Anolis sagrei: one gene and its partners. The protein of the gene in region 1 interacts with the protein of each later gene in a pairwise test. Links are inferred from orthologs where the notes say so. Each region holds a gene or a part of one and is shown in the gene's direction. Other genes may lie near its edges.

Region 1 (7,003 bases):
CTGGTCTCTCCTCCATCTCTCTGCAACAAGGCTTGGACTGAAGAGGGACATTTAGTCCCAAGCCCACTCCCTTGGAAAGGAAACACCGTGAGAGGGAACTCCAAAGGGCATCTAGTCTGGAATGCTTATTCATATCCAAACTGGTGGAGATGGAAGGAAGGAAGGGAGGAAAGAAAGAAAGACAGAGGAAGGCAATCTATCCATCTCTAAAGCATCCTTGACTCCTCCATCTCTCTTCAACAAGGCTTGGAGTGAAGGGGGTCATTTAGTCTTAAGCCCACCCCCTTGGAAAGGAAACACCGTGACAGGGAACCCTGAAGGGCATCTAGTCTGCCCTTTGGATCCCATCCAAGCTTTGGTGGAGATATAAGGAAGGAAAGAATGAGCATCCCTGGAGCATTCTTGACTCCTCTCTCCTCTATCTTGGAGTGAAGAGGGACATTGAGTCCCAAGCCCACCCCTTTGGAAATGAAACACCATGAGAAGGAACACCAAAGGACATCTAGTCTGGCTTGCTATTCTCACCCAAGCTTTGGTGGAGATGAAAGAAAGGCTATCTATCCATCTCCGGAGCATCCATGAGTCCTCTCGCCTCCATCTCTTTGCAAGCAGGCTTGAAGAGGGACATTTAGTCCCAAGCCCACCCCCTTGGAAAGGAAACACCATGAGAAGGGAACCCTGAAGGGTATCTAGCCTGGCCTGCTTCATTCACATCCAATCTTTGGTGGAGATGCATGGAAGGAAAGAGAGAGGAATGCCCTCCATCTCTGGAGCATCCCTGACACCCCTCTCCTCCATCTCTCTGCAGCAAGGCTTGGACTGAAGAGGGACATTTAGTCCCAAGCCCACCCCCTTGGAAAGAAAACTCCATGAGAGGGAACCCTGAAGGGCATCTAGTTTGGCCTGCTTTATTCACATCCAAGATTTGGTGGAGATGGAAGGAAGGAAGGCTCTCCATCTCTGGAGCATCCAAGACTCCTCTCTATACCTCTCTGCAAAAAAGGCTTGGAGTGACAAGGGTCACCTAGGCCTAAGCTCCCCCCAATGGAAAGGAAACACCATGAGAGGGAACCACAAAGGACATGTAGTTGTTCCTGCTTCCTCTGAAAGGTTCCCATCCAGAACTCAAAGGGCATCTGGTCTGGCCTGCTTCATTCACATCCAAGCTTTGGTAGAGAAGGAAAGAAGGAAGGGAGGAAGGAAGGAGAAGGCTCTCCTTCCCTTACTTCTCTCCTCCATCTCCCTGCAACAAGGCTTGGAGTGAAGAGGGACATTTAGTCCCAAGCCCACCCCCTTGGAAGGGAAACACCATGAGAGGGAACCACAAAGGGCATCTAGTCTGGCCTGCTTCCTCTTAAAGGTTCCCACCCAGATTTTGGTGGAGATGTAAGGAAAGAAAGAAAGAAAGAAAGAAAGAAAGAAAGAAAGAAAGGCTCTCCATCTCTGGTCTCTCCTCCATCTCTCTGCAGCAAGGCTTGGGCTGACGGGCATTTAGCCCCAAGCCCACTATCTGGGAAAGGAAACACCATGGGAGGGGACCCTAAAGGGCATCTAATCTGGCCTGCTTTAACTGAAAGGAGGGGAAGGGTCTCCATCCCTGGAGCATCCCTGACTTCTCTCTCCTCCAATCTCTCTGCAAAAAAAGGGCTTGGGGTGAAGAGGGGCATCTAGGCCCAAGCTAGGTGAAAGGAAAGGGTCCTGAGAGGGAACCACAAAGGGCATCTAGACTGACATGCTGCCTCTGAAAGGTTCCCATTGAGACTTTGGTGGAGATGCATGGAAGGAAAGAAAGAGGAAGGCTCTCCATCTCTAAAGCATCCCTGACTCCTCTCTCCTCCATCTCTCTGCAAAAGGGGTTGGAGTGAAGAGGGTCACCTAGGCCTAAGCTCACCCCATTGGAAAAGAAAGGATCCTGAGAGGGAACCCTGAAGGGCATCTAGTCTGGCCTGCTTTATTCACATCCATGCTCTGGTGGAGATGAAAGGAAGGAAAGAAAGCAAGAGGAAGGCTCTCCATCTCTGGAATATCTCTGACTCCTCTCTCCTCGTCTCTCTGCAAAAACGCTTGGAGTGACAAGGGCCACCTAGGCCTAAGCTCACCCCCTTGGAAAGGAAACACCATGAGAGGGAACCGTAAAGGGCATTTAGACTGACATGCTTCCTTTGAAAGGTTCCCATCCAGACTTTGATGATGCAAGGAAGGAAAGAAAGAAAGAGGGAGGCTCTCCATCTCCAGAGTATCTCTGCTGCCTCTCCCTCATCTCTCACGACAAGGCTTGGAGTGAAAAGGGGCATCTAGGCCCAAGCTAGAGGAAAGGAAAGGGTCCTGATAGGGACTCCTCAAGGGCACCTAGTCTGCCCTGCTTCCTCTAAAAGGATCCTGTCCAAGCTTTAGTGGAGATGTAGGGAAGGAAAGGAAGAAAGAGGAAGGCTCTCCATCTCTGGAGCATCCCTGACTCCTCTCTCTGTCTCCCTGCAACAAGGCTTGGGGTGACAAGGCTCACCTAGGCCTAAGCTCACCCCATTGGAAAGAAAAGGGTCCTGAGAGGGAACCCTGAAGGGCATCTAGTCTGGCCTGGGAGGGCTGCATCTGAGTCTCCAAAGGGGAAGGAAGGAAGGCATGGAAGGGGAGACTCCAAGGGGAAGGAAGGAAGGGATGGAAAGAAGGAAGGGAGGGAGGGAGGGATGGAAGGGGAGACTCCAAGGGGAAGGAAGGAAGGATGGAAGGAAGGAAGGAAGGACGGAAGGAATGGAACGAAGGACGGGAGGGAGGGATGGAAGGGGAGACTCCAAGGGGAAGGAAGGAAGGAAGGAAGGATGGAAGGAAGGAAGGAAGGACGGAAGGAATGGAACGAAGGACGGGAGGGAGGGATGGAAGGGGAGACTCCAAGGGGAAGGAAGGAAGGAAGGAAGGAAGGAAGGAAGGAAGGAAGGAAGGAAGGATGGAAGGAAGGAATGGAACGAAGGACGGGAGGGAGGGATGGAAGGGGAGACTCCAAGGGGAAGGAAGGAAGGAAGGAAGGACGGAAGGACGGAAGGAATGGAACGAAGGACGGGAGGGAGGGATGGAAGGGGAGACTCCAAGGGGAAGGAAGGAAGGAAGGGATGGAAGGAAGGAAGGACGGAAGGAATGGAACGGACGGGAGGGAGGGATGGAAGGGGAGACTCCAAGGGGAAGGAAGGAAGGGATGGAAGGAAGGAAGGAAGGACGGAAGGAAGGAAGGAATGGAACGAAGGGAGGGAGGGAGAGATGGAAGGGGAGACTCCAAGGGGAAGGAAGGAAGGGATTGATGGAAGGAAGGAAGGAAGGAAGGAATGGAAGGGGAGAGTCCAAGGGGAAGGAAGGACGGAAGGAAGGAAGGGAAGGAGGGAAAGAGGGAGGGATGGAAAGGGAGACTCCAAGGGGAAGGGAGGAAAGGAGGGAGGGAGGGAAGAAAGGAAAGGAGGGATGGAAGGGGAGACTCCAAGGGGAATGGAGGAAGAGAAAGGAGGGAGGGAGGGAAGGAAGGGATGGATGGAAGGGGAGATTCCAAGGGGGGAGCAGGTGTACTTGTGTGGGGCGAGGGAGAGCGTGCCAAGCTGGAGGGAGGCGAGTCCCTTCAAGTTAGGGGCCTTCTGTGTGAGAAGTCTGGCCCAATTCTATCATCGGTGGGGTTCAGAATGCGCGTTGACTGCAGGTGAACTATACATCCCACCCCCACCCCCCAAATCCCACCAGTCTTCCAATGTGTGCCAAAGGAATGAGAATGCACCCTGCAAACCGGATCTGGGCATGGCGATGGGTAACAGTAGCCAGAGGAGAGCTAGGAAGTAGCAAGGTTGGAGGAGACAGGGATCTCAGGAAGGAAGGAAGGAAGGAAAGAGAAGGGTGAGAGAGAGAGAGAGAGAGAGAGATGGAGCCTGGAAGGAAGGAAAGAAGGAAGGAGGGAGGGGAGGAGGGGGAAGGGGCGGCCAGATCCTGCCCTGCAGCAGAGGCCGCCCCTCTTTTGGCTCCGCCCGACGCCGGGGTCGCGCTCTCCTCCCTCTCCTCCTCCTTTTCCTCCTCCTCCTCCTCCTTTCCCTTCCCTCCTCCGCTCCTCCTCCTCCTCTTCTTCTCCGAGGGCCGGCCCAGGGCTTCCCCTCTCTGCATCCTTCCCTTCTTCCCTTCCCTTGCTTTTCAGGGGGAGGAGGGAGGTGGGCCTCCTCCTCTTCCTCTTCTCCTTCCTCTCTTCCCTTCCTGGCTGCGGCACAGGATGTCGCGGAAGGTGCCCCGGGCCGAGGTCTGCGCCGACTGCAGCGCCCCAGGTGAGCCTCTCTCCTCCTTCCCTCCCTTCCTTCCTTCTTTCCCTTCCCAGGCAGGTACTGAGGCCTCGGCAGGGAAGGGAGAATGGGGCGGGGACCCCTCCCTCTGGGCCCCTCCCCTCCTTTGGGCAGGAAGTGGGCCAGGAAGGGACACCCGGGGCCAACACAACACACCTCCCTCCTTCCTTCCCTGCCCTTCCTTCCATCCCATCTCACTCCCTTCCCTTCCTTCCGTCCCTACCTTCCTTCCATTCCTTCCTTCCCTCCCATCTCTCTTCCCCCCCTCTCTCCCTTCTTTCCTTTCCTTCCTTCCTTCCTTCCTTCCCTCCCATTTCTCTCTCCCCTCTTTCCTTTCCTTTCCTTTCCCTTCCTTCCTTCCTTCCTTCCTTCCCTCCCTCCCTCCCTCCCTCCCTCCCTCCCTTCTTTCCTTCCCATCTCTCTCTCTCTTCACTCTTTCCTTTCCTTCCTTCCCTCCCTTCCCTCCCTTCCTTCCCATCTCTCTCTCTCTCCCTTCCTTCCTTCCTTCCTTCCTTCCCATCTCTTTCTCCTTCCCTTCCTTCCATCCCATCTCTCTCCTTTTCCCTCCCTATCTTCTGTCCCTTGTTTCCTTCCCTTTTTTCCTCCCTCCCTCCCTCCCTCCCTTCCCATCTTTCTCTCTCTCTTCACTCTTTCCCTTCCTTCCTTCCCTCCCTTCTTTCCCATCTCTCTCTCTCTCCCCCCTTCCTTCATTCCCATCTCTTTCCTCCCTCCCTACCTTCCGTCCTTTCCCTCCATCCCCTTTTTCCTTCCTTCCTCTCTTCCCTCCCATCTTTCCCTCTCTCTCTCCCCCTTCCCTCCTTCCCTTCCCCTCCCTTCCTCCCTATCTCCTTCCTTTCTTCTTCCCTCTTTTCCCTTTCCTTCCATCCCTCCATTCATTTCCTTCCTTCCTTTTCTTCTATCCCTTCTGTCCCATCCTTCCATTCTTCCTTCCTTCCATTTCTTTTCTTCCTTCTTCCCTTCCATCCCTCCATTCATTTTCCTGCCTTCCTTCCAATACTTCCCTCCTTCTCCTTCCTTCCTTCCCTCCCTTCCTTTCCTTCCTCTTCCTTCCCTCCCCTTCCTCCATTCCTATCCTTCCACCCCTTCCTTCCTTCCCATCTGCACCTCTCTCCCCTCCCTTATGCATTATTAATGTATAATAATCTGTAATTACCATCATTATTATTTATTACACATCCATATGCAGGACTCTCCTTCCTCCTTTCCTTCCCAGATGAGTGGGTGGAGACACCCTTCCTCCCATGGAGGGACCATTGGCTTTTGGGCCTCTGTCCTGGAGGAGGGCCTCTGCTTTTTGGTTTTAAATGGGATTACAATTCATATCTAGGCATTATTTTCATTATTCTATAGAAGCAGAATCATATCCATGTAAAAGTATACGCCCATACTAATATACTATTACCATTATTATATGGGAACTTGATAATATTCAGGTATAACAATAATATACATTATTATATGTCCATACTAATGTATTATTACTATTATTATATGGGAACTTCATAATATTCAGGTATAACAATAATATACATTGTTATACATCCATATTAATATATTAATACTATTGTTATATGCGAACATAATGTTAAGGTATAATAATAATAATAATATACATTATTATATGTCCATACTAATGTATTATTACTATTATTATATGGGAACTTCGTAATATTCAGGTATAACAATAATATACATTGTTATACATCCATATTAATATATTAATACTATTGTTATATGCAAACTTCATAATGTTAAGGTATAATAATAATAATAATATACATTATTATACGTCTATACTAATGTATTATTGCTATTATTATATGGGAACTTCATAATGTTAAGGTATAATAATAATATACATTATTATACGTCCATACTAATGTATTATTACTGTTATTGCATGTAAACATCATAATGTTAAGGTATAATATACATTATTATACATCCATATTAGTGTATTATTACTATTATTATATGGGAATTTCATAATGTTAAGGTATTTATATATATATATATATATATATATATATAATACATGCACACTAAAGTATTATTACTATTATTATATGGGAACTTGATAATATTCAGGTATAACAATAATATACATTATTCTACATCCATACTAATGTACTATTACTATTATTATATGGGAACTTCATATAACAATAATATACATTATTATATGTCTATACGCATGTACTATTACTATTATAATATAGGAGCTTCATATAACAATAATATACATTATTCTACATCCATACTAATGTATTATTGTATGGGAGCTTCATAATGTTAAGGTATAACAATAATATACATTATTATATGTCCATATTAATGTACTAGTACTATTATTATATGGGAATGCCATAATTTTAAGGTATAATAATAATAATATACATTATTATACATCCATAGTAATGTATTATTATATGAGAATGCCATAATGTTAAGGTATAATAATAATAATAATATACTTCATTATACGTCCATACTAATGTATTATTGCTATTATTATATGGGAACTTCATATAACAATAATATACATTATTATGCATCCGTACTAATGTATTATTACTATTATTATATGGGAACTTCATAATGTTAAGGTATAATAATAATAATATACATTATTATACGTCCATATTAATGTATTATTACTATTACTATATGGGAATGACATAATG
Region 2 (6,951 bases), on another chromosome or scaffold:
AGATGCCAATGCACAACAAACATATAGCAGAGTTTCAGAAATGTTCTCTTCAGTTGCCCCAAAACATCTATCTACTCTCTCTTAAAGCGGACAAGAGCAAAGCAGGCAGCAGTCTCCTAAAGTGGACAGACCATGAGGCACGGAGACACAGAGGTTGCCTCTTTAAGCCCCAAAGCCCTATACTCCTGCGCTAGTGCTCCCTCTGATGCTAGCTCTTAATTCAAAACACTGCTCTTATATCAAAGTGAAACCCGGTCTGAGAAAAATACTCTCAAATTGGGATGCTCTTAACTAGAAATCACACTGTGTTTGTATTGCTAGAACATTAGTGCTAATTTTGTAAGTTGCTATAGAGCAGTGGTTCCCAACATTTGCTCCTCCAGAAGTTTTGCACTTTGGCAGCCAGAATTTGTAACAGTTGGACAAGCTGTCAGGGGATTCTGGGAGTTGAAGTCCCAAACATCCGGAGGACCAAGCGTTGGAAACCACTGCTACAGAGGTATCACGGTGTCCAATTCCACATTCTTTTTCTAATTTGTCTCCAGATGTCTCGCTCATGAGTCTACACATGTTCTCCTCCTGTTTCTCCCACAATGGCTCACTGTGATTTTTCCCCCCACTTGAGGTTTTGTGCAAAAGTGGCAAATCTTTACTTTGCTATTGCTACATCTGCGTCTGTGCAACATCTCCACTCCTCAAGAAATCTATCTGCCCTCTGTGTGCATTGATGCTCTGGGGAGACCAACCACAGAGGAACGAAGGAACACTCGTACGTGTTTGTAGAATGATCTTGCTCCAAGGATGCATGTTACCCTTGCACAATACCTCAAAAGAAAAATGTATTATGGGGCACTGGGGGTAGACTGCCATAGGTGAAGATAACAGAGGAGTCTGGAACAACATCCTTCTGATGTCAAACATGAATTTGGAAGGCCCTACCTAGACAGAGACCGGCCAGACCCAAAAAGAGGATCCGGAACACCTGATAAGACAGCAAGCACCAAGAAAGATTTTTCCTTCAATTTTCCAAAATAAAATCTCACCAAGTTGAAGCAAAAGCCACCAAAGTTTTATTTCATTCCAGCTGGAAGTGATCATGACTGCAGTTATCTGCCCAAGGAGCTGACATGCTGGATGGGCAGAAAAAACAATATTTATAGGGCTGTCAGATTCAAAAATTCCCATGCCCACCCCCACCCCCCTGAACTGGCTTCATTGTGATTGGCTGTGACGTCAGCAAGCCAGCAGGAGATCCAATGAGAGCCCGACCACTGCTTTGGCCGCTCAGCCAATGAGGTGGAAGGAGATGGGCAAATGGGAAACAATGAAAAGAATGCCATGATGATGGGTTATGAATGGCACTTTCTGCGCCTGTATTGATAAAGGGGCCAAAGTGATAGCTTAAGCCCTCAAACTTCAGCCCAGGCTATTGTCTTGAGTCTTGAAATAACGTCTTCTGTCTAGCTCCAAAGAGCCAGTTCCATCGTCATATTGCTCTGTAAAATTGGCTTGATGATGGGAATTGAAATTCCTTTTTGGAGATGGAGAAATGGCACAGTGGGGAGGCGGTGACAATCCCTGGTTCCTTGCAGTTGGGAAATGTATGGTTGGGTGATTCTGTATGTCCATAAGTCCCATTGTCCTGGATGGTCTAGCCAACAAGGCCCTCCGAAGTCCAGGAAAAGGGCCCATTTACTTATTGTCCATGCAAATGAGTTTCTGTCAAGACCTTTGTTAATGGGATTATTGGCTCAGGAAGTTTGAAAACTCCTGAGCCCTGGGTTGGTGGCAAAGCTCATGAAAGGGTTACCTTGCTTCATATTTTATATAGACATACTTACTTACTTAGGCGATCCCTTGTTGCCCAAGTAGGATAGTCTTCCAAGATGGGTGTACTGGTGGGTCCATAGGTGACTGTGGAGCCCTATTCTTGATCTGCATCTTCTCCCGCAGTGAGGGCATTGGTTTCCAGGTGGAAGGCGGTCTCAGTCAGGGTTAGCTTGACAGACTACTGGTCACAGCTGATCTCCAGCTAGAGCGCTCAAGGGCCAGGGCTTCCCAGTTCTCAGTGTCTACGCCAGAATTTTTAAGGTTGGCTTTGAGCCCATCTTTAAATGTCTTTTCCTGCCCACCAACATTCCATTTTCTGTTCTTGAGTTCGGAGTAGAGCAACTGCTTTGGGAGACGGTGGTTGGGCATCCGGACAACGTGGCCGGTCCAGCAGAGTTGATGGCGGAGGACCATCACTTCAGTGCTGGTGGTCTTTGCTTCTTCCAACATGCTGCCCTTTGTCTGCTTGTCTTCCCAAGAGATTTGCAGGATTTTCCGGAGGCAGCGCTGATGGAATCGTTCCAGGAGTTGCATGTGACGTCTGTAGACAGTCCACATCTCTCAGGCATATAGCAGGATTGGGAGGACAATAGCTTTATAAAGAAGCATCTTGGTATCCCTACGGATGTCTCGGTCCTCAAACACTCTCTGCTTCATTCGGAATAAAACTGCACTTGCAAAGCTCAGGTGGTGTTGTATTTCAGTGTCAATGTTGACTTTGGTGGAGAGGTGGCTGCCAAGGTAGCAGAAATGATCAACATTTTCTAATGTTACAACATTAAGCTGTATTTCTGGCATTGGAGAGGGATTGGAGAGAGAATATAAATATATACATGAAATATTTATAATATTATAATTTGATGCAATATAATACTAATAATAATATAATTATATATTTATATTACATGTAATATTACAATATAATGGTATAGTACAATATAGTAATATTTAATACTGATATTGTACTATGCTAATAATATAATATATTGTATTTATTTATTTATTTATTTACTTTGCTTATATACCGCTGTATCTCAAGCCCGAAGGCGACTCACAGCGGTTCACAAACAGTAAAAAAACAGTAGAAACAGCAGTGGTTCCATACAACATATAACAATTGACTTAACACATTATCCATAAATTACCAAAAGCAATTACAATGCACAATTATTACAAAAAACAACCGTACCCAATCTTCTCATCATCCAAGCGTAGTCCAGGTTCGTCGTCCATTGTTCCATTCCTATGTTTCATTACCAGATTGCACTAAATTACTCAAACGCCTGCACAAACATCCAGGTCTTCAACTTTCTTCGGAATGCCATGAGAGATGGCGCCAGCCTAATGTCTGTAGGAAGGGCGTTCCTTGTAAGCCGCTCTAAGTCCCCTTCAGGGTGAGAAGGGTGGCATAGAAATGTTGCAAATAAATAAATAAATAAATAAATAGGCTGGTGACTGCTGGAAGAGCACTTTGGTTTTCTGATATACAGACATACATACGTATAATGGATGGGGATATGGGGAATATACTGCATTTTATATGGGAAGGGAAAGGCATGCAGGATCAAGGGAAGATTCATCTTGGTCACCCAGAGTTCATGTAAGATGACACAAAGCTCACTGAGCCATTCATAAAACAGGAGTTTTATTCACAAAAAGGGAATCCAATTCATAAATAATAGCCAAATTGATCAGATGCTGGTTTGGGTTACAGGGGCGTTGCCATGTGGGGCCATGGAAAGAGCCTTAGGTTCCACCATGGGGGAGAGATAAGTGATTATTGGATCATTCCAGCCTGGTGTCCTTGGCAAAACTATGAATTCCCTGATTATGAACTCTTTTACAGGGTCCTGGGGGATGAGGGTCATCTCTGATTACACTTCAAGAACTGAGACCAGTGTGGGCCAGACTTGGCTACTTGCAATTTCTTGGATTTTAACTAAGACTGAAGTATGTTTGGGCTATACAGCATCCCCCAGCCCAGGCTGACCTTGAGCTGCTGAATCACCTAGTACCCAAGTATCCCTGTCCAACCTTATCCACAGTACACAGTTCTAGCCTGGATCCCCCTATTGCGCATGCGCAGCGCGGGGCATGTGTACGCGAAGGGGACGCCGTCAGTTGAACGGCTTGCTCAGCGCGCAGGCGCAGTCGTGTTCAAAGCAGGCAAAATGGCGGCGCCCGTGGACCTTGAGCTGAAAAAGGTATGGGGCGGGAGGGGGTGCGGGTGGGGATGGAGAGAGATAAACGAAGCTCAGGCCCAGAGCTGTGTGAGGCCGTTGTCGTCTGAGGCGAGTCTTTTCGGGAGCGGAGTTTCTCAGGGGCTCATGGCAGCACCAGAGGCCCTGTTGGAGCCTTTGCCATAAAGACAAAACGCCTTTTCCTGGAGTGTTTGTACTAGGAAACTATCAGAGCATCGCCTCAGGATGGGGCCGCCTCTCTAGGCCACAGGAAAGCGGTTTGAGTGTTGGGCGAGGGCAGTGGGAGGCAGGTGACACTCTCTCAGCCTCAAAGCCAACCCCCTCTGCTTCAGTTCTGCCTAGAAAACCCGGCATAAACGGCGGCTTAGGCTTTTATCAACATCAGACTATGTCTACTCGTGGGTGCCTGTGCTTTTAAAACCCCTTCCACACAGCTGAATAAAATTCCACATTTTCTGCTTTGGAATATATGGCAGTGTGGACTCAGATAACCAAGGGCCCTTCCACACAGCCCTATATCCCAGAATATCAAGGCAGAAAATCCCACATTATCTAAGTGTGGACTCAGATAACCTAGTTCAAAGCAGATATTGTGGGATTTTCTGCCCAGATATTCTGGGATATAGGGCTGTGTGGAAGGGCCCCTAGTTCAAAGCAGCTCTTGTGGGATTTTCTGCCTTGATATTCTGGATTATATGGCTGTGTGGAATTGCCCACAGATAATAATAATAATAATAATAATAATTAAACTTTATTTGTACCCCGCTAGCATCTCCCGAAGGACTCGATGCGGCTTACAAAGGCCAAAGCCTCAACATAACAACAACAAACAATAACGATGCAAGCAAATTAAAACATAAGCAATAACACAACAAAACATTACACTATTACACAATAAAATCAGGGCCAGGCCAATGATGGGTACAGGTTAAAAGTCCTGGATGTGTGAGGTGGTATGTTGGAGTTCTGGGCAAGTGCAATGTTCAGATAATATTAAACTCTAATAAAGTGCTTCTGGTACAGAGTGTTGGGGATTATCCTATTCTGGAAAGGCACATCGGAATAACCAAGTCTTCAAGTTCTTCCTAAGACTGTGAACGTGGGTGCTAGTCTAATGTTTTTGGGGAGGGTGTTCCAAAGTCGGGTGGCAACCACAGAGAAGGCCCTGTCCCTCGTCCCCACCAAACGCACCTGCGACGCAGGTGGGATCGCGAGCAGGGCCTCTCCGGATGAGCAAAGAGAACGCGTGGGTTCGTAAGCGGAGATGCGGTCACGCAGGTAGGCAGGTCCCAAACCGTTCAGGGCTTTGTAGGTAAGCACCTGCACTTTGAATTGGGCTCGGTAGGTAAACGGCAGCCAATGGAGCTCCTTAAACAGGAGGGTTGACCTCCACAATATCTGCCTTGAACTGGATTATCTGAGTCCACACAGCCATATAATCCAGTTCAATGTGGATTTTATACAGCTGTGTAGAAGAGGCCTTAAGTGGTTCTCTTACCAGTGGTTCTCAACCTGGGGTCCCCAGATGTTTTTGGCCTACAACTCCCAGAAATCCCAGCCAGTTTACCAGCTGTTAGGATTTCTGGGAATTGAAGGCCAAAAACATCTGGGGACTCCAGGTTGAGAAGACCCTTTTTTCACTGCCACATAATCCATATTATCAAAGGAGATCATTAACATTACCTACTTTGAACTGGATTATCTGAGTCTACATTGCCATATAATCCAGTTCAAAGCAGAAAATGTGTGATTTTATTTATCTGTGTAGAAGGGGCCCCAGAAAATCAAGGCAGATAATCCGCAATATCTGCTTTGAACTGGATTATCTGAATCCACACTGCCATATAATTTTATACAGCCAAATGGAAGTTGCCTCAGAACCGGTTCTCCCAGGCCCCTTCTTCACTGCCATCTAATACAGTTTATCAAAGCAGATAATTCACATTACCTACTTTGAACTGGATTATCGGAGTCCACAATGCTATATAATCCAGTTCAGTGTGGATTTCATACAGCTGTGTGGAAAATGTCCCAGATTATCTGGCAGTGTAGACTCGGGGGCCCTTCCACACAGCCATATAACCGAGAATATCAAGGCAGAAAATTCCACAATATTTGTTTTAAACTGGGTTATTTGAGTCCAAACTGCCATATATTCCAGTTCAAAGCAAATAATGTAGAATTTTATTCAGCTAGGTTGAATGGGCTTCATATAATTCCGTTCAAAGCAGATAATCCGGAACCAGATCCTGGAATGCAGGGCAGTGTATATCCATCCTGAAACATTCATAAAATGATAACGTTAACAATGAGTATTCCTAATACTCATTAGAAAGTACACACACAAGCATCATTGGGTATATACACTAGTATATAATATCTATTTGCCATATTTAAAAGATTCAAATGGCCTACCCCGAGCAATTCTGGTCAATGTCCATTCTCAAAATTATATCACTAGGACTACCCCTTAGAACAAAATTCTAGTGAAATCATCAGAACCTTCCCACTTACTAGGCATTGGGTTAGGCCCTTTAATCTCAAAGTCTGTCTATTGTCAAGGCAGAGCTATCTAGAAGCAGATAACATCCAAGCAGAGCCCTTTATGTATGAGTCTCTAACAATCAAGGAAGGGCCCTTCCACACAGCCGTATCACCCAGAATATCAAGGCAGATAATACACAATATCTACTTTGAACTGGATTATCTGAGTCCACACTGCCAAATAATCCAGTTCAATGTGGATTTCATACAGCTGTGTGGAAGGGGCCTTGGTTTTTATTGGTAGTCTCCCATCCAAGTACTAACCAGACCTGATCCTGCTTAGCTCAATTATCAGACGAGATTTTGCCTTTTGTGTATTAAGGAAGCATTACTCACACATACAGTTCATTGAAGAGTCCACTGTTTCTTGTTTAAA
Region 3 (7,507 bases), on another chromosome or scaffold:
GTGGGAAGCGGCGCAGCGGGGCTTGGAGTGGGCATGGTTTCCGCAGAGGGAACGTTGGCCGGAAGGCCATGTGCGCGCGCCAGGGAACTTGCGGCTGGGCGCCAATGCGCATGCTCAGTTGTTTTGCAGTTTTGTAAGTGTGTTGTTGTGTTGTTTTTCATTTTGAGTAGATATGTTTGTACCTTGTGGGTTGTGTTATGGGCACGGGGATTTTAGTTAAGTTTTGTTGGGGGATTTTTGAGTTTTGTTGTTTTGCCGTTTTGTGAGTGTGTTGTTGTGTTGTTTTTCATTTTGAGTAGATATGTTTGTACCTTGTGGGTTGTGTTATGGGCACGGGGATTTTGGTTAAGTTTTGTTGGGGGATTTTTGAGTTTTGTTGTTTTGCCGTTTTGTGAGTGTGTTGTTGTGTTGTTTTTCATTTTGAGTAGATATGTTTGTACCTTGTGGGTTGTGTTATGGGCATGGGAATTTTGGTTAAGTTTCGTTGGGGGGTTTTTGAGTTTTGTTTCCTCGTTGGATGCCCCTAACAAATTTATATATATAGATTATTGGCATAGCACAATATCAGCATTATGTATTACTATATTGTACTATACGATAATATTGTAATACAGTATTATTAGTAATATTACATGTAATATAAAATATGATTATATTGTATTATTATTAGCATTTTTATTTCATATCAAAAGCATTGCATAAATTAGCATAAAACCGATAAAAATAGGAGCGCAGGTGGATAAATATCTTTTGACCAAAAACGGGCAACAGCAATGGCATTATCTGTAGCCTCCAACAATTCTTCCTCTATACATGAGGCAGGGCATAGTGGACAAGCATACAGATGCGGAGTTGTCTGTTCTGCTCCACAGTCACACAAGGTGTGGGATTCTTTTAGGTAGTGCCATTTTGCCAGGTTGTCTTTTGATCTGCCCACTCCACTTCTGAGTCTGTTCAGGGACTTCCAAGTTGCCCATTCTTGGTTTGCCCCTGGAGGAAGACCCTCTCTTGTGGGGGGCCATCCAGTTGGGATTTCCTGGTTTAGCTGCCCAGAGGGATACCCTTGCTGTTGCTGGAGGGATGCCAAGAGGAATGGTAGTTCTCATAAAGCTTTTCCTTTATTTGAGTCTACTGGGAGGAGGCCGGTAGCCATGTAGTGGATGGTTTTACAGTGTTCAACCTTATTTCTCTCACATTTAGCAGCAACTTCCCATTGCACATTGGGGGGGGGGGGGGGGGGAATGCCAGCTAGCTTGTAGAGTTTATCAACAGGTGTAGGTTTAAGACATCCTGTGATTATTCTGCTAGTTTCATTCAATGCTATGTTCACTTGCTTTGCATGAGCAGATCTATGCCAAACAGGACAGGCATACTCGGCAGTTGAGTAAGACAAGGCTAGGGCTGATATTCTTACCAATTTTGGGTCTTCACCCCATGTGCATTATATTGTATTACATTATTATTATTATTTTGTTGTGTCAGAACGACTTGAGAAACTCAAAGTCGCTTCTGGTTTGAGAGAATTGGCCGTCTGCAAGGATGTTGCCCAGGGGATGCCCAGATGTTTTGATGTGTTACCATCCTTGTGAGAGGCTTCTCTCATGTCCCTGCATGGAGAGCTGGAGCTGAGAGAGGGAGCTCATCTGTGCTCTCCCCATATTCGAACCTGTGACCTATCAGTCTTCAGTCTTACCGGCACAGGGATTTAATCCACTGCACCACTGGAGGCTCTGGTATTATATTATAATATTACAAATATTATATGTATATACAATGTATTATATTATTAGCACAGCACAGGAGACAAGGTGGAACTGTCTTCCTAGCCCCCCCTCTCTCTTCACTCTGGCCCAGAGGAGCAGTTGGTGATGGGGGGAGGGGCTCCCAACTGATGACATAGGCCACGGTGGTCCATGCTGTTGTTACATCCCAAATAGACTACTGCAACACACTCTATGTGGGATTGCCTCTGAATACTGCCCAAAAGCTTCAACTAGTCCAACGTTCGGCAGCCTGGCTGCTCACTGGGGCTGGGTACAGGGAGCGCACAACGCCCTTGTTATGTCAGCTCCACTAGCTGCCTATCAGCTTCCGAGCACAATTCAAAATGCTGGCTTTGGCCTATAAAGCCCTTAACAGTTCTGGTCCAGTTTACTTGTCTGAACGTATTTCCCGCTACGATCCACCTAGGGCCCTAAGATCATCTGGGGAGACCCTGCTCATTGTCTCCCCATTGTCACAATTGTGTTTGGCGGGGACAAGGGACAGGGCCTTTTCTGTGGTGGCCCCCCGGCTATGGAACTCCCTCCTGAGCAAAATTACATCTGCTGCATCCCTCTTGACCTTCCGGAAACAAGTAAAATCCTGGCTATTTGATCAGGCCTTTGGAGAATAGGCTGACCTACTGATGTGTTGACTTATTTAGAACTGATGGACTGCCCTTGGATAATGATTTAAATCAGTGACCACTGACTATTTGTTGTCTGTTTTTATATTGTTTATACAGTTTTATATTGTTGTTATTATTACATTGCTGTTAATTGTATATTTATGTTTTGATGTGGGCGCCGCTTTGTTAGCCGTCCTGAGTCCCTCTGCGGAGGTTGAGAAAGGACGGGATATGAAAGCCCTAAATAAAGAAATCCTCTTGACCTGGAACCAAGACTTGATACAACTTTAACTGCCACAGCTCAATGCTATGGAATCCTGGGAGTTGGAATTTTTACAAGGCCTTTAGCCTTCTCTGCCAGAGTGTTAGTTCCTCTCCAAACCACGACCCCTAGGATTCCATAATACTGAGTCCTATCAGTTAAAGTGGTGTCAAGCAGCATCCATTCTGCAGTGAAGACGCACCCGAAGAGGAGGAGGAGGGAGGCCTTCCATAGCTGTGACCCCTCGCATATCGTCTACTACTACCATACATACACAGAAGGAATGGTCGCTCTATTCCGTATGCAGCAGGACTCCTTTTCCATGTAGCGGTTGCTGGTCTAGGGGCTGCTCTCTCCTTCCTCCTCCGCATGGGGAGAGGCGGGGCCTGGGGAGGCTTTAAACCCCAAAGAGGCATTCCAAAGGGAAGGGGAGGGGGTGTGGCGTGGCGTGGCCTGGTCAGGCACACTCGCGGCGATGCAGAAGCAGAAAGCAAAGGCCGGCTTAGGGGCGTGGCCTGGCGCGAAGCGGGTGGGGGTCGAGGCCTGTGAGGCGGAAGAAAGGCGTAGCCTTGCGCGAGGCGTATGACGCTGAAGAGGGGCGGGACCTGGCGCGAGGCTGGAAAGGGGAGGCCTATGAGGCGGGACAGGGGCGTGGCCTGGCGCGAGGCTTTTTTTTTTTTTTTTAGTCAGAAACTGTAAGTCGCTTCTGGTGTGAGAGAATTGGCCGTCTGCAAAGACGTTACCCAGGGGACGCCCGGATTTTTGATGTTTTGCTAGGAAATAAAGCCTGACTGCTCATTGGAGGGAATGATATTAGAGGCCAAGATGAAGTATTTTGGCCACATAATGAGAAGACAGGACAGCTTAGAGAAGACAATGATGCTGGGGGAAATGGAAGGGCAAAGGAAGACGGACCGACCAAGGGCAAGATGGATTAATGGTATCTTTCAAGTGACTGGCTTGACCTTGAAGGAGCTGGGGGTGGTGATGACCGACAGGGAGCTCTGGCGTGGGCTGGTCCATGAGGTCACAAAGAGTTGGAAGTGACTGAGCAAATAAACAACAACAAAACACACATACAAAGCACCTGACTTATACTAACTAATAAGGGACTTCATCTAGGTCCACACCACATCCTTGTGGGAGGCTTCTCTCAGGTCCCTGCATAGGGAGCTGGAGCTGATAGAAGGAGCTCATCTGCGCTCTCGAATCTCTAACCTGTCTTCAGTCCTGAAGGCAGAAGGGTTTAACCCATTGCGCCACCGGGGGCTCCTTATCAAAGCAGATAAGTGTGGGTTTTATTTAGCTGTGTGGAAGCGGCCTCAAATTCGGAAGGAAAGCCGACTCCTGAGGCCCCTTCCAGACAGCTGAACAAAATCCCACACCTCTGAGGATGCTTGCCATAGATGCAGGCGAAACGTCAGGAGAAATGCCTCTAGAACATGGCCATATAGCCCGAAAAAACCCACAAGAACTGAGTGATTCCAGCCATGAAAGCCTTCGACAATACAAAATCCCACGTTATTTGCTCTGAACTGGAACATATGGCAGTGTGGACTCAGATAACCCAGTTCAAAGCAGATAATGTGGGATTTTCTGCCTTGATATTCTGGGCTACATGGCTGTGTGAGGAAGGGCCTTGACAGAGGCACTAACCAAAGGTAATGGCAAGGCTGAGAGGGTGGGGGCGGGGCCTCGCTCGAGGCGTAAGGCGGGAGAGGGGCGTGGCCTCGCGCGAGGCTGTGGAGACTGGGGGCGTGGCCTCGCGCGTGGCTGGGAAAGAGAGGCGGGAGAGGGGCGTGGCCTCGCGCGAGGCTGGGGGCGGTGCCGGGCGCGCGAGAAGGAGGGGCGTGGCCTCGCGCGAGCCACTACACAGCCGCCACTTAGCCGCTGTGCTGTGAGGGAGCCTTTCTCTCCCTTTTCCTTCCACGAAGCCGGCGGTGAGTGGCGGTGTTCATCTGAGGGGCGCCTTCAGGCAGGTCGGTGGGCCTTCCTTTCCCCGCTTGTCCTTGTGCTGAGGGCGACGTGCCCCAGTGGAAGGGGAGGGGGGGAGAACGGTGTGAGGGGACTGTTTGGGGTGAAAGCGGGGAAGGAATGTGAGTGCTGCCGGTTGCTGTACCGTTGTGTGGTGGGAGGGATGGATGAGGATGGCAGGCCAACGCCACAGGCCTCCCTCTCCGCACCTGCCCGTCCTTGCCGCAGCACGTCGGCTCCGAGGGGCAGCTGAGGCCGCGGGTCGGTAGGTAGGCAGGTAGATGCCCGGCGTGGCTCGACCTTTTGTTCTTCGAGGGATGGATGCTGTGCCCCGGAAGCCCGGCAAGGAGGGAAGGAGGGAGGGAGGGGGATGTCTGTGGCGGAGGAGCTCGATGCGGCGGGGGCCTTTGGCTCCTCGCCTTGCTTGGCTTTGCCTGCCTTCTAGATGCTCAAGGAGACCCCAAGAATGGATGATGCCTCCGCGGGAAAGCCAGGCCTGGGATGCATCTGCACTGAAGAATGGAGTCAGGTTGACATCACTTGAACTGCCATGGCTCCATGCTGTGGAAGCCTGAGTGGCTCAGTTTTACCAAATCAGAGTAGCCATTTCTGCCAGGAATAAAAAAAGAGCCGACACTTCACCGAATTACAAATCCCATCATCCCACAGCATTGAGCCAGGGCAGTTAAAGTGGTGCATTGATTCTACACTGCACCCCAAGTCTGAGGGAACTGTGCAGACCAGGCATGTGCAAACTTGGGCCCTTCAGGTGTTTTGGACTCCAATTCCCACCATTCCTAAAAGTCTCAGGCCCCTTCCTTTCCCTCTCAGCCGAAGGGGAAAAGGAAAGGGCCTGAGGCTGTTAGGAATGGTGGGAGTTGGAGTCCAAAACACCTGAAGGGCCCAAGTTTGCCCATGCCTGGTCTGTACCTCGGGCCATGTTTGTGTCACTGAGCATAGCTACTGCCTCTAAATGATAACTTTATTTTTATACCCCACTTCCATCTCCCCGAAGGGACTAAGGGCGGCTTACATGGGGCCAGGCCTAATCAACAGAGTTAAAACGTATCAATTTAGAATGCATAACATCAATTTAAAACAGCAAGATATATAACAAGATATAAAACAAACATCTTAGGAATTGTGGGAGTTGAAGTCCAAAACACCCGGAGGGCTGAACTTTGCCCACGCCTGCTCTACACTGTAGATTGAATGAAGTTGGATACCACTTTAGCTGCTGTAGATCAGTGCTAAGGATCCTGGGAGTTGTCATTTGGGGATACAAGGTTAAGGAATTTGTAGTGCCACAGGTCTCATGCTTCCATAGCATTGAGCCATGGCTTTTTTAAAAAAATGGATTATCACAAACATTTACATATAGTCCGACTCTCTTTGTGGACTAATTTTGTATCCACTGAATGAAAATATTTCATTCAGCATTTGAAAACTGGATTTTCGCAATTACTTACCCTATGCAGTTCACCCTCCTTATAGACAGATTCAGTATAACCTTTAAGGCCCTCAGTTGTTTGGGTCCAGGTTTCTACAGGATTGCCTTCTCCTGTATAATCTGCCTCATACACTGAGGTCTTCTGGGAGATGGTTACGCCAACCATCCAGAACCTGACAGGAAACAGTCACCCAGAGGACCTTTTCATTGGCTGCTCCGAGTCTTTGGAATGACCTGCCAGAAAAGCTCTGACAGCATTCAAGGCAGAACTGAAGACCCATCTCTTCTGGCATGCCTACCCAGTCAATTTACATTCTACCATTACTGTACTTTAATATTTGTATTATGTATTTTATTATATGTATTTTATAGAAATGTGTTCTAATGTATTATTTTATTGTATGTATTATATGTTTTAATGACAAAGAGGCGGGCAATGAATATATTATTATTAACATCCACAGCTTATATATATATATATATATATATAAAAAAATTCAAAAACCAAAGTAATTTTATTTTATACAAGGGATCCCATTTTACTACATTGTTGTATGTAGTGGAACTGTGGGTCCTACAACCAAAGCCTAGTGAGTACCAAGGGTCCACCGTATTATCTTCTCATAATGGTTGGCTTATGTTAGAAATGTGGGAATGTTATTTACTTGTATTTAGACTTAATCATAATTATAATAAAATTCTTGAAATTAAAGTGTCTTTAATGGTAGTAACGACTAATGAGTCTTATTGATGGAAATGACTTCATTCTAAATCTGGATACAACCAACCATGTTTTATGAACTGGCATTTTCCTTGTTTTCAGTGGGTGCTGCAATGTTGCATTGTTGGGGAGGGTTAGATGGCTTTTATGTCTAATTTCATATGTGTACTTCTAAAATGTGAACATCCTATAATGGAAGAAGTCACTGCATATGGTGGCTAAATGCAGCCTTAATTACTTTGCATATGCTAACGAAATGGAAGATGTCTGCTTTTGAAGGTGATAATGTAGGCTTGGAACTACCCTACCCCACCCAGTCCTTGTCCAGAAAATTTTGAAATCAAGCCTAAAATAAAAAGGAACAGATGGGTGAGACAAACGGTTGATAGAAACGTAAGGGGACAACACGACAGTACAGAACAAGAGAAACAGCTGTCATAGCACACCAGTTGCTTAACCACTCTTGTGTTCTCTAAGCATCATGATTGCTTTTATAGCTATATTTATGTATATCCACAGAATAAGGCAGAACAATTGATTGTGAATCATGAGTGAGACCAGTCAATAAAATTGTCTTATGCTTGTAAATATGGCAGGTTTGCTGAAGCTCTTCAGACCAGGTGCTCTGAGTCTTGTTTAAAGTATCTGTTGTCTTCTGTACTTATAAGCCTTGGCAAGCCTTTGAGATGTTTTGAGGCTCTCACTGCATAA
Region 4 (7,149 bases), on another chromosome or scaffold:
GCTCTAGCATTTGTGATCCCTGTCCGCCTGAAATGATGATGGAAATTTCTCCCTTGTTCATAGCTCTAGATCTACAAAACGACAAATCTTTATTTTCTCCAAGTAATTAGGAGCAGTTCTCGCTTTGGCTCTGCATTGCTATGACAGATGGGGCCGTGTGCATCTCGCATCTCTATGAGTCATTGGAAGTACCAAGAGAGACATCATTCCTTTTCTCCTGACGGCCTCATTGGGGAAAGAGTGCTGATGTGCCGAAATGGACGTGGCATTTGATTTAAAGGTGCAGCATCCAGCACTCCATTCCAATCATCACATATGGCTCTAAGAGCCAGAAAGATGGGTCTGTACCAAAGTACGTGTTGGAATCTAGTTTTGGAAGTTTGTCAAATATTTTTCAAAGAAGGTGGGGGGGGGGGGCAGTATGTACAAAATAAGAAAATGAGAGTAAATGCACACAACTGATTAGATGCCCACATTCCTGACACAAGTAGAAAATATGTGTTTTTAAAAACATACAAAGATTATTATATCATAGTGATAATTATATCATAAAATCTGAAACAATCAGACAATTTAAGATATAAAGCTCCTTACTCATTTGGGGATGGAACTATGAATTTCAAAAATTATATGAATATGCTGTTCCTTTTGTACCTGCTCATAAATGAGGCAAAGGGATCCTGAATGATATAACATGTTCTAATGACTGAAACCCCATCTACATTAACTTATGATAAAGTTTCAAACTGTATTGTATGGCAGTGTAGATGGGACCACTGTTCTCAAATTACACTATGTAACAAAATTTGAGAAATTTTCTGTTCCTGGCTTGAAAGTGCTATTTCCTGTTTAATTGTGCAGTATTTACATTGAAAGTAGTTGTTATACTCCGGAAACTATGTTGAATTGGTTGAGACTTGATACAGAACCATAGAATCCTTGAACTGGAAGAGACCTCATGGGCCATCCAGTCCAACCCCCTGCCAAGAAGCAGGAAAATAGCATTCAAAGCACACCTGACAGATAGCCATCCAGCCTCTGTTTAAAAGCCTCCAAAGAAGGAGCCTCCACCACACTCTGGGGCAGAGAGTTCCACTGCTGAACAGCTCTTCAATCATTGAAAAACTACAGCAAATGTGCTGCAGGATGACCTGCCAAAACAAAGTTTTTGCAGTTTAATAAACCTTTTCCATTTTTTATGATAGAACCAATTAAGAAATGACATTTATAACCCAGGTACAAAGTGTTATCAAAGCAATTCCTAATTCAAGCTGGAACTGCACTTTTTGGAAGACGAGTTGAGTATTCCGCATTCTTTATTTATTTCATGTCAAAAGAATTGCATAACTAAGTATAAAACTGATAAAAACAGAGGGTACACAAGTGGTTAAATAATTTTTGACCAAAAACAGGCAACAGCGACCACATTGCCTGTAGCTTTAAACAATTCTTCCTCTGTGCATGTGACAGGGCATTGTGGACAAGCATACAGATGCAGAGTCGTTTGTTCTGTTCCAGTCACACAAGGTGGATTCTTCTAGGCCAGTGGTTCTCAACTTTCCTAATGCCACGACCCCTTAGTACAGTTCCTCATGTTTTGGTGACCCCCAATCATAAAATTAATTTTGTTGCCACTTCACAACTGTAATTTTGCTATTATTATGAATTATACTGTAAATATCTGATATGCAGAATATATTTCCATTCATTAGACCAAATTTAGCACAAATACCCAATACACCCAAATTTTAGTATGGGTGAGGGGAGGTTGGAAGGGATTGATTTTGTCATTTGGGAGTTGTAGTCACTGGGATTTGTAGTTCACCCACAATCAAAGAGCATTCTGAACTCCATCAATGATGGAATTGAACCAAATTTGGCACACACAAGTCCCATGACCAGCAGAAAATGCTGGGTTTGGTGGGCATTGACCTTGAGTTTTGGAGTTGTAGTTCACCTATATCCAGAGAGCACTGTGGATTCAAATAAATGATGAATCTGGACCAAATTTGACACAGATACTCAATATGCCCAAAGGTGAACACTGGTGGAGTTTGGGGAAAATAGACTTTGACATTTGGGAGTTGTAGTTGCTGTGATTTATAGTTCACCTACAAAGAGCATTCTGAACCCCACCGACGATAGAATTGGGCCAAACTTCCTACACAGAACCCCCATGTCCAATGAAAATACTGTGTTTTCTTATGGTATTTGGCGACCCTACTGACACCCCTCGCGACCCCTCAAGGGATCCCGACCCTCAGGTTGAGAAACACTGTTATACGTGGTGCCATTTTGCCAGGTTGTCTTTATATCTGCCTGCCCCATTTCTAAGACTCTTCAGAGACTTCCAAGTTGCCCATTCTTGATTTGCTCCTGGAGGAAGACCCTCGGGGGGGGGGGGGCATCCAGTTGGAATTGCCTGATTTTGAAACCCAGAGGGATACTCTTGCTGTTGCTGGGGAAATGTTAAGAAGAGTGGTGGTTCTCATGAATCCTCTCACTGATTTGAGTCTACTGGAAGGAGGTTGATAGCCATGCAGAGGATGGCTTTCAGTGTTCAACCTCACAGTTAGGAGCAACTTTCCATCGCACATCAGGGGGTGGAGGGGGGGGCAATGTCAGCTAGCTTTTAGAGTTTATCAACAGGTGTAGGTTTAAGATATCCTGTGATTATTCTGCATGTTTTATTCAGTGCTGTATTCACCTGCGTCGCGTATACAGACTTGTGCAAAACTGGGCAGGCATACTCAGCCGATTCTGCGTTCTACATGCTTGGTACCAGAAGTGCTTTGGAGGATGATAATGATTGTGGAATACCTTTAAACATAATGGAACTGAAGACTAAATGCAAATTCCATTTATGTTTCATATATGCCTTATATGCATAGCGCTCTACGTGGGGTTGCCTTTGAAGACTGTTCAGAAACTTCAAATTGTCCAGCGGGCGGCAGCCAGGTTGCTAACTGTAGCAGTGCTCAGGTAGCACACAACTCCTGTTACGCCAACTCCACTGGCTACCAATTTGCTACCGGGCACAATTCAAAGTGCTGGCTTTACCCTATAAAGCCCTAAATTGTTCCAGCCCAGCTTACCTGTCTGAATGTATCTCTCCCTATGAACCATCTAGGAACTTAAGATTGTATGGGGAGGGCCTGCTCTCAATCCTGCCTTCTTTGCCTTTGGCGGGGATGAGGGACAGGGCCTTCTCAGTGGTGGCCCCTCGGCTGTGGATCTCCCTCTCTAGGGATATTAAAACCTAGCTCTTTGAATAAGCCTGGAAGTGCAGTGCAATAGACAAGCACGGAAGTGCAGTGCAATAGACAAACACGGAAACATGGAAAGACTTAGACGATGCTACTGGAGAGTGAGATTAACAGGAAGACATTGGTTATTATATGTTTTTAAAGGTTATTGTATTGATTTTATAATGATGTTTTCAATGTTTTAATTGTATATTGTGGATTGTGATGGCATCGAATTGCTGTCAATTTGTAAGCCGCCTTGAGTCGCCTTCAGGCTTGAGAAAGGTGGAAGAGAAATATCATAAATAAATAAATAATAGCTTGAAATTAATTTCATACACTGTATTTTAAAATAATTTGGGGAACGAAACAAAGTGTGTGCCTATTGAACTCACAGCAGCCATTTCCTTTCCAACACGTTATGCACTTGACAAAGAGTTGTTACTTAAGGGGGCCTCTACACTGTTGAATTAATGCAGTTTGACACCACATTTAACTACCATGGCTATGGAATCCTGGTAGCAGTAGTTTGGTCAAACAGCAGCTCTCTTTGGCAGAGAAAGACCTTGCAAAACTACAATTCCCATAGTTTCATAGCACTGGGCATGCATGGGGTGTCGAACTGCATTAATTCCACAGTGCAGAAGCAGCCTATGTTTGTGGACCACTTTCCTTACACATATAGTAAATACAATGAGAGGGAGATCGTGACAAGAAAAGACCAAAGCTGATCCAGCTTAACAAGAAGAGGAAGAAAAATGCCTTCAATCCGCAAAATGAAGTCTACAAAAACACTCCCCACCTCCCGCTGGGCGGAAATGTTTACTGCGCAGGCGCGTCCGACTCTCGAAGAATTCCGAACCCAACGAGCCGCCGTCCACTCGCTGGCTGGTCACGTGGACACAAGTCAGCTGACAAGGAAGAGCTGGTGTTTTGCGGAAGAGGCTCAGTCGGTCGGCGAGATGGAAGGCGCACTTGAGCACCATTTGGAAGACACGTAAGCCTGGAGTTCGCAGTGCCCATCAGCACTATGGACTGGGGACGGGCATGCCATTCGAGCCCTGCTCCCAGGAAGCTTAGAGTGCATCTTCACTATAGAACTAACGCAGTTTGGGGTCATTCTAACTAACTTTGGTGAGGCACCAGCCCTCTTTGCAGAGAAGGCTAAGAGGCCATGGCAGCTAAAGTGGTGTCAAACTGCATTAATTCTAGTGTAGATCAGGCGTGGGCAAACTTGGGCCCTCCAGGTGTTTTGGACTTCAACTCCCACCATTCCTCACAGCCTCAGGCCCCGTTCTGAAGCGGCTGAGGGGGAAAAGGAAAGGGCCTGAGGCTGTTAGGAATAATGGGAGTTGAAGCCCCATGAGGAGCGGCCTAAAGAGCTGGGCATGTTTAGCCTGCAGAAGAGAAGGCTGAGAGGAGATACGATAGGCATATATAACTATGTGAGAGGAAGTCATAGGAAGGAGAGAGCAAGCTTGTTTTCTGCTGCCCTGGAGACTAGGACATGGAACAATGGATTCAAACTACAAGAAAGTTGGTCCATCTGAACATGAGGAAGAACTTCCTGACTGTGAGAAATATTCAGCAGTGGAACTCTCTGCCACAGAGTGTGGTGGGGGCTTCTTCGTTGGAGGCTTTGAAACAGAGTCTGGATGGCCATCTGTCGGAGGTGCTTTGAATGAAATATTCCTGCTTCTTGGCAGGGGGTAGGCTGGATGGCTCATGAGGTCTCTTCCAATTCTATGATTCTAAGTCCAAAACACCTGGAGGACCCATGTTTGTCCATGCCTATGCTAAAGGAGCCCACCCTCATGTCCTGCTGTATCCTCTTGTATGATTCATGCGGAGATGAGCATGCTAACCTCTTCTCCATAGAAGTGGATGGAGGAGGGACAGACTTCATAGCTATTACAGCTCAAAATCAGGGTACAGCCGACTGGCTGCTCTCTGTATCAAGAAGCCCAGACTCTCTGCACAGGATGCATGCAGACAGGGAGGGGGTTACATCAGCTTGCCATGTGGGAGCCACTCCACGCTCTGCCCCCCCCCCCCCCACCAGTTTGCACACACCACCGCCGTGGAAAATTACACAACCTGCCAATAGGGAGCCCCACACACTGCAAGGAACAATTTCGCGAGGTGCATCAACACTCTGGACTGGATGCAGCTTGACACTACGTTTCCTGCTATGGGATCTTGGGAGTTGAAGTTTGGCAGGGCTTGTAGACAACATTAAAGCATGGCAGTGGATGCGGTGTCAAAACAGTGGATGCACTCCAGCAGCAAGGAATGGGAGGAACGGTGCGAGTTGAAGTCCAAAAGTCCAAAACACCTAGAGAGACCAAGTTTGCCCGTGCCTGGTGTAGATGTAGCCCAACAATCAGGCACTATACCACACTATCACTCTCCTCTAGGGACCAATTCTTATTATATGCTTATTATTGTTGCTTTTTCGTTGTTCTGTCCCACCTGCTGGATGTTTCTGATCCCTTCTGTCTCCTCCTTTCCTAGAATGAAGAATCCCTCCATTGCAGGAGTCCTGTGCACTGATTCCCAGGGACTGAATCTGGGCTGTAAGTATTTTGGAAACTCTCTTTCAGTCCAAGTGAACTGTCCTGTATTTTTAAAACTAATTTATTTTCCTTTTCAACTATCGATCATTACCTTCTAGGTCGTGGCACTCTCTCAGATGAACATGCAGGTGTGATATCGGTTCTAGCCCAGCAGGCAGCCAAATTAACAAATGATCCCACAGATATCCCTGTAGTGTGCCTTGAGTCAGATACTGGGTAAGTGTGCTCTGTTACTTACCTACTTCACCTCATTGCATAAATTTGTTGGAACTCAGCCAAGTCCTGCACAGGTTTATAGTCCTCATCAAGTTAATAAGATAGGTAGATGAGTTAGCAGGCAGGGAAAGCTCTTCCCCCATTGCTTTGTCTTCCCCTCTCTCTCGTTTTCTCCTATTAGTTTGTTAGACTGATGCTTCTCAGGGACACACCTCTTTTTATTCAAAGTTTCTAGCCACATGCAAGCCCCCCCCCCCCCTCCAAGTCCTCCAATTTTTTTCTTCTGTCAGCATGAAGAGAGACAAGATGCATGCAGAGATAGGTAAGTTAGATAGCTAGGCCCTAACTTTACTATATAGAAATGTAGTTCTTTGAAATGTAGTTCTTTTATAACTTGACTCTCTTCCTGTATTTATGAAACTCATTTTCCCTACAGCTATGCACAAGAAGCTTCTGATCTGCTAAAAACTACTGCTGTTGCTTTACCATTGCATATGCTTTTTCATTTTTGAAATTACCCAACAAAATTACTTTCTGATGGATTGATATGTGTAACCTGGTAAACATTTGCTGCTCTTTAGCTTTCATGTCACACACAAGGAACAATTTCTGCATCTGGTCTTTGTTTCTTAGAGACATAGGACATCAGATTATTTTAGCTGAGTGCTTCCATCAGCCCCACAGAGCATGGAAATTATTATTTTTCCTTTTTTTTACATGTTAGGAGCAACTTGAGAAACTTCTGGTGTGAGAGAATTGGCTGTCTGCAAGGACATTGTCCAGGGGACGCCCTGGTGTTTTGATGTTTTACCATCCTTGTGGGAGGTTTCTCTCATCATTAATGAAGTTTAACAAAGATGTTGCTCTCCATCATATACTTACTTGAGCATGCTATGGATGTAGGTTGGTAGGGTACAATCTTTCTAAATAAAGGAACCTTATGGTTTTTAACTTTTAATATGTTTTAATGGTTTTTAACTGGGAATTTTTAATATTGTTTATATTTAATCCTGTTTTAATTTTTGCACATTGGTATATTTTAAATTGTATGCTAATGCTCTACATTGAGCAGCTTTGAGACTCCTTTAGGAGAGATAAAGCAGAGTATAAAT

What was found.
Region 2: the proteins of GIT1 (region 1) and PFDN1 interact in binary tests that used the Homo sapiens proteins (3 or more experiments, as listed by UniProt). The link is inferred for Anolis sagrei from reciprocal best matches to the Homo sapiens genes GIT1 and PFDN1.
Region 3: the proteins of GIT1 (region 1) and PPFIA4 interact in a two-hybrid assay, tested with the Homo sapiens proteins (2 studies listed by BioGRID). The link is inferred for Anolis sagrei from reciprocal best matches to the Homo sapiens genes GIT1 and PPFIA4.
Region 4: the proteins of GIT1 (region 1) and LAMTOR5 interact in a two-hybrid assay, tested with the Homo sapiens proteins (2 studies listed by BioGRID and IntAct). The link is inferred for Anolis sagrei from reciprocal best matches to the Homo sapiens genes GIT1 and LAMTOR5.

What each region holds. Positions count from the first base shown.
Region 1 is NC_090031.1:33,986,909-33,993,911, forward strand, and holds the start of GIT1 (ARF GTPase-activating protein GIT1), read left to right. Parts: upstream 1-3,984; 5' UTR 3,985-4,231; coding exon 4,232-4,283; intron 4,284-7,003. UniProt on the Homo sapiens protein: GTPase-activating protein for ADP ribosylation factor family members, including ARF1.
Region 2 is NC_090024.1:136,883,171-136,890,121, forward strand, and holds the start of PFDN1 (prefoldin subunit 1), read left to right. Parts: upstream 1-3,926; 5' UTR 3,927-4,001; coding exon 4,002-4,034; intron 4,035-6,951. UniProt on the Homo sapiens protein: Binds specifically to cytosolic chaperonin (c-CPN) and transfers target proteins to it. Binds to nascent polypeptide chain and promotes folding in an environment in which there are many competing pathways for nonnative proteins.
Region 3 is NC_090024.1:206,155,949-206,163,455, reverse strand, and holds the start of PPFIA4 (liprin-alpha-4), read left to right. Parts: upstream 1-4,484; 5' UTR 4,485-4,591; exon of another isoform or gene 4,592-4,630; intron 4,631-7,507. UniProt on the Homo sapiens protein: May regulate the disassembly of focal adhesions. May localize receptor-like tyrosine phosphatases type 2A at specific sites on the plasma membrane, possibly regulating their interaction with the extracellular environment and their association with substrates.
Region 4 is NC_090024.1:183,624,891-183,632,039, forward strand, and holds the start of LAMTOR5 (ragulator complex protein LAMTOR5), read left to right. Parts: upstream 1-4,126; 5' UTR 4,127-4,207; coding exon 4,208-4,242; intron 4,243-5,759; coding exon 5,760-5,821; intron 5,822-5,919; coding exon 5,920-6,037; intron 6,038-7,149. UniProt on the Homo sapiens protein: As part of the Ragulator complex it is involved in amino acid sensing and activation of mTORC1, a signaling complex promoting cell growth in response to growth factors, energy levels, and amino acids.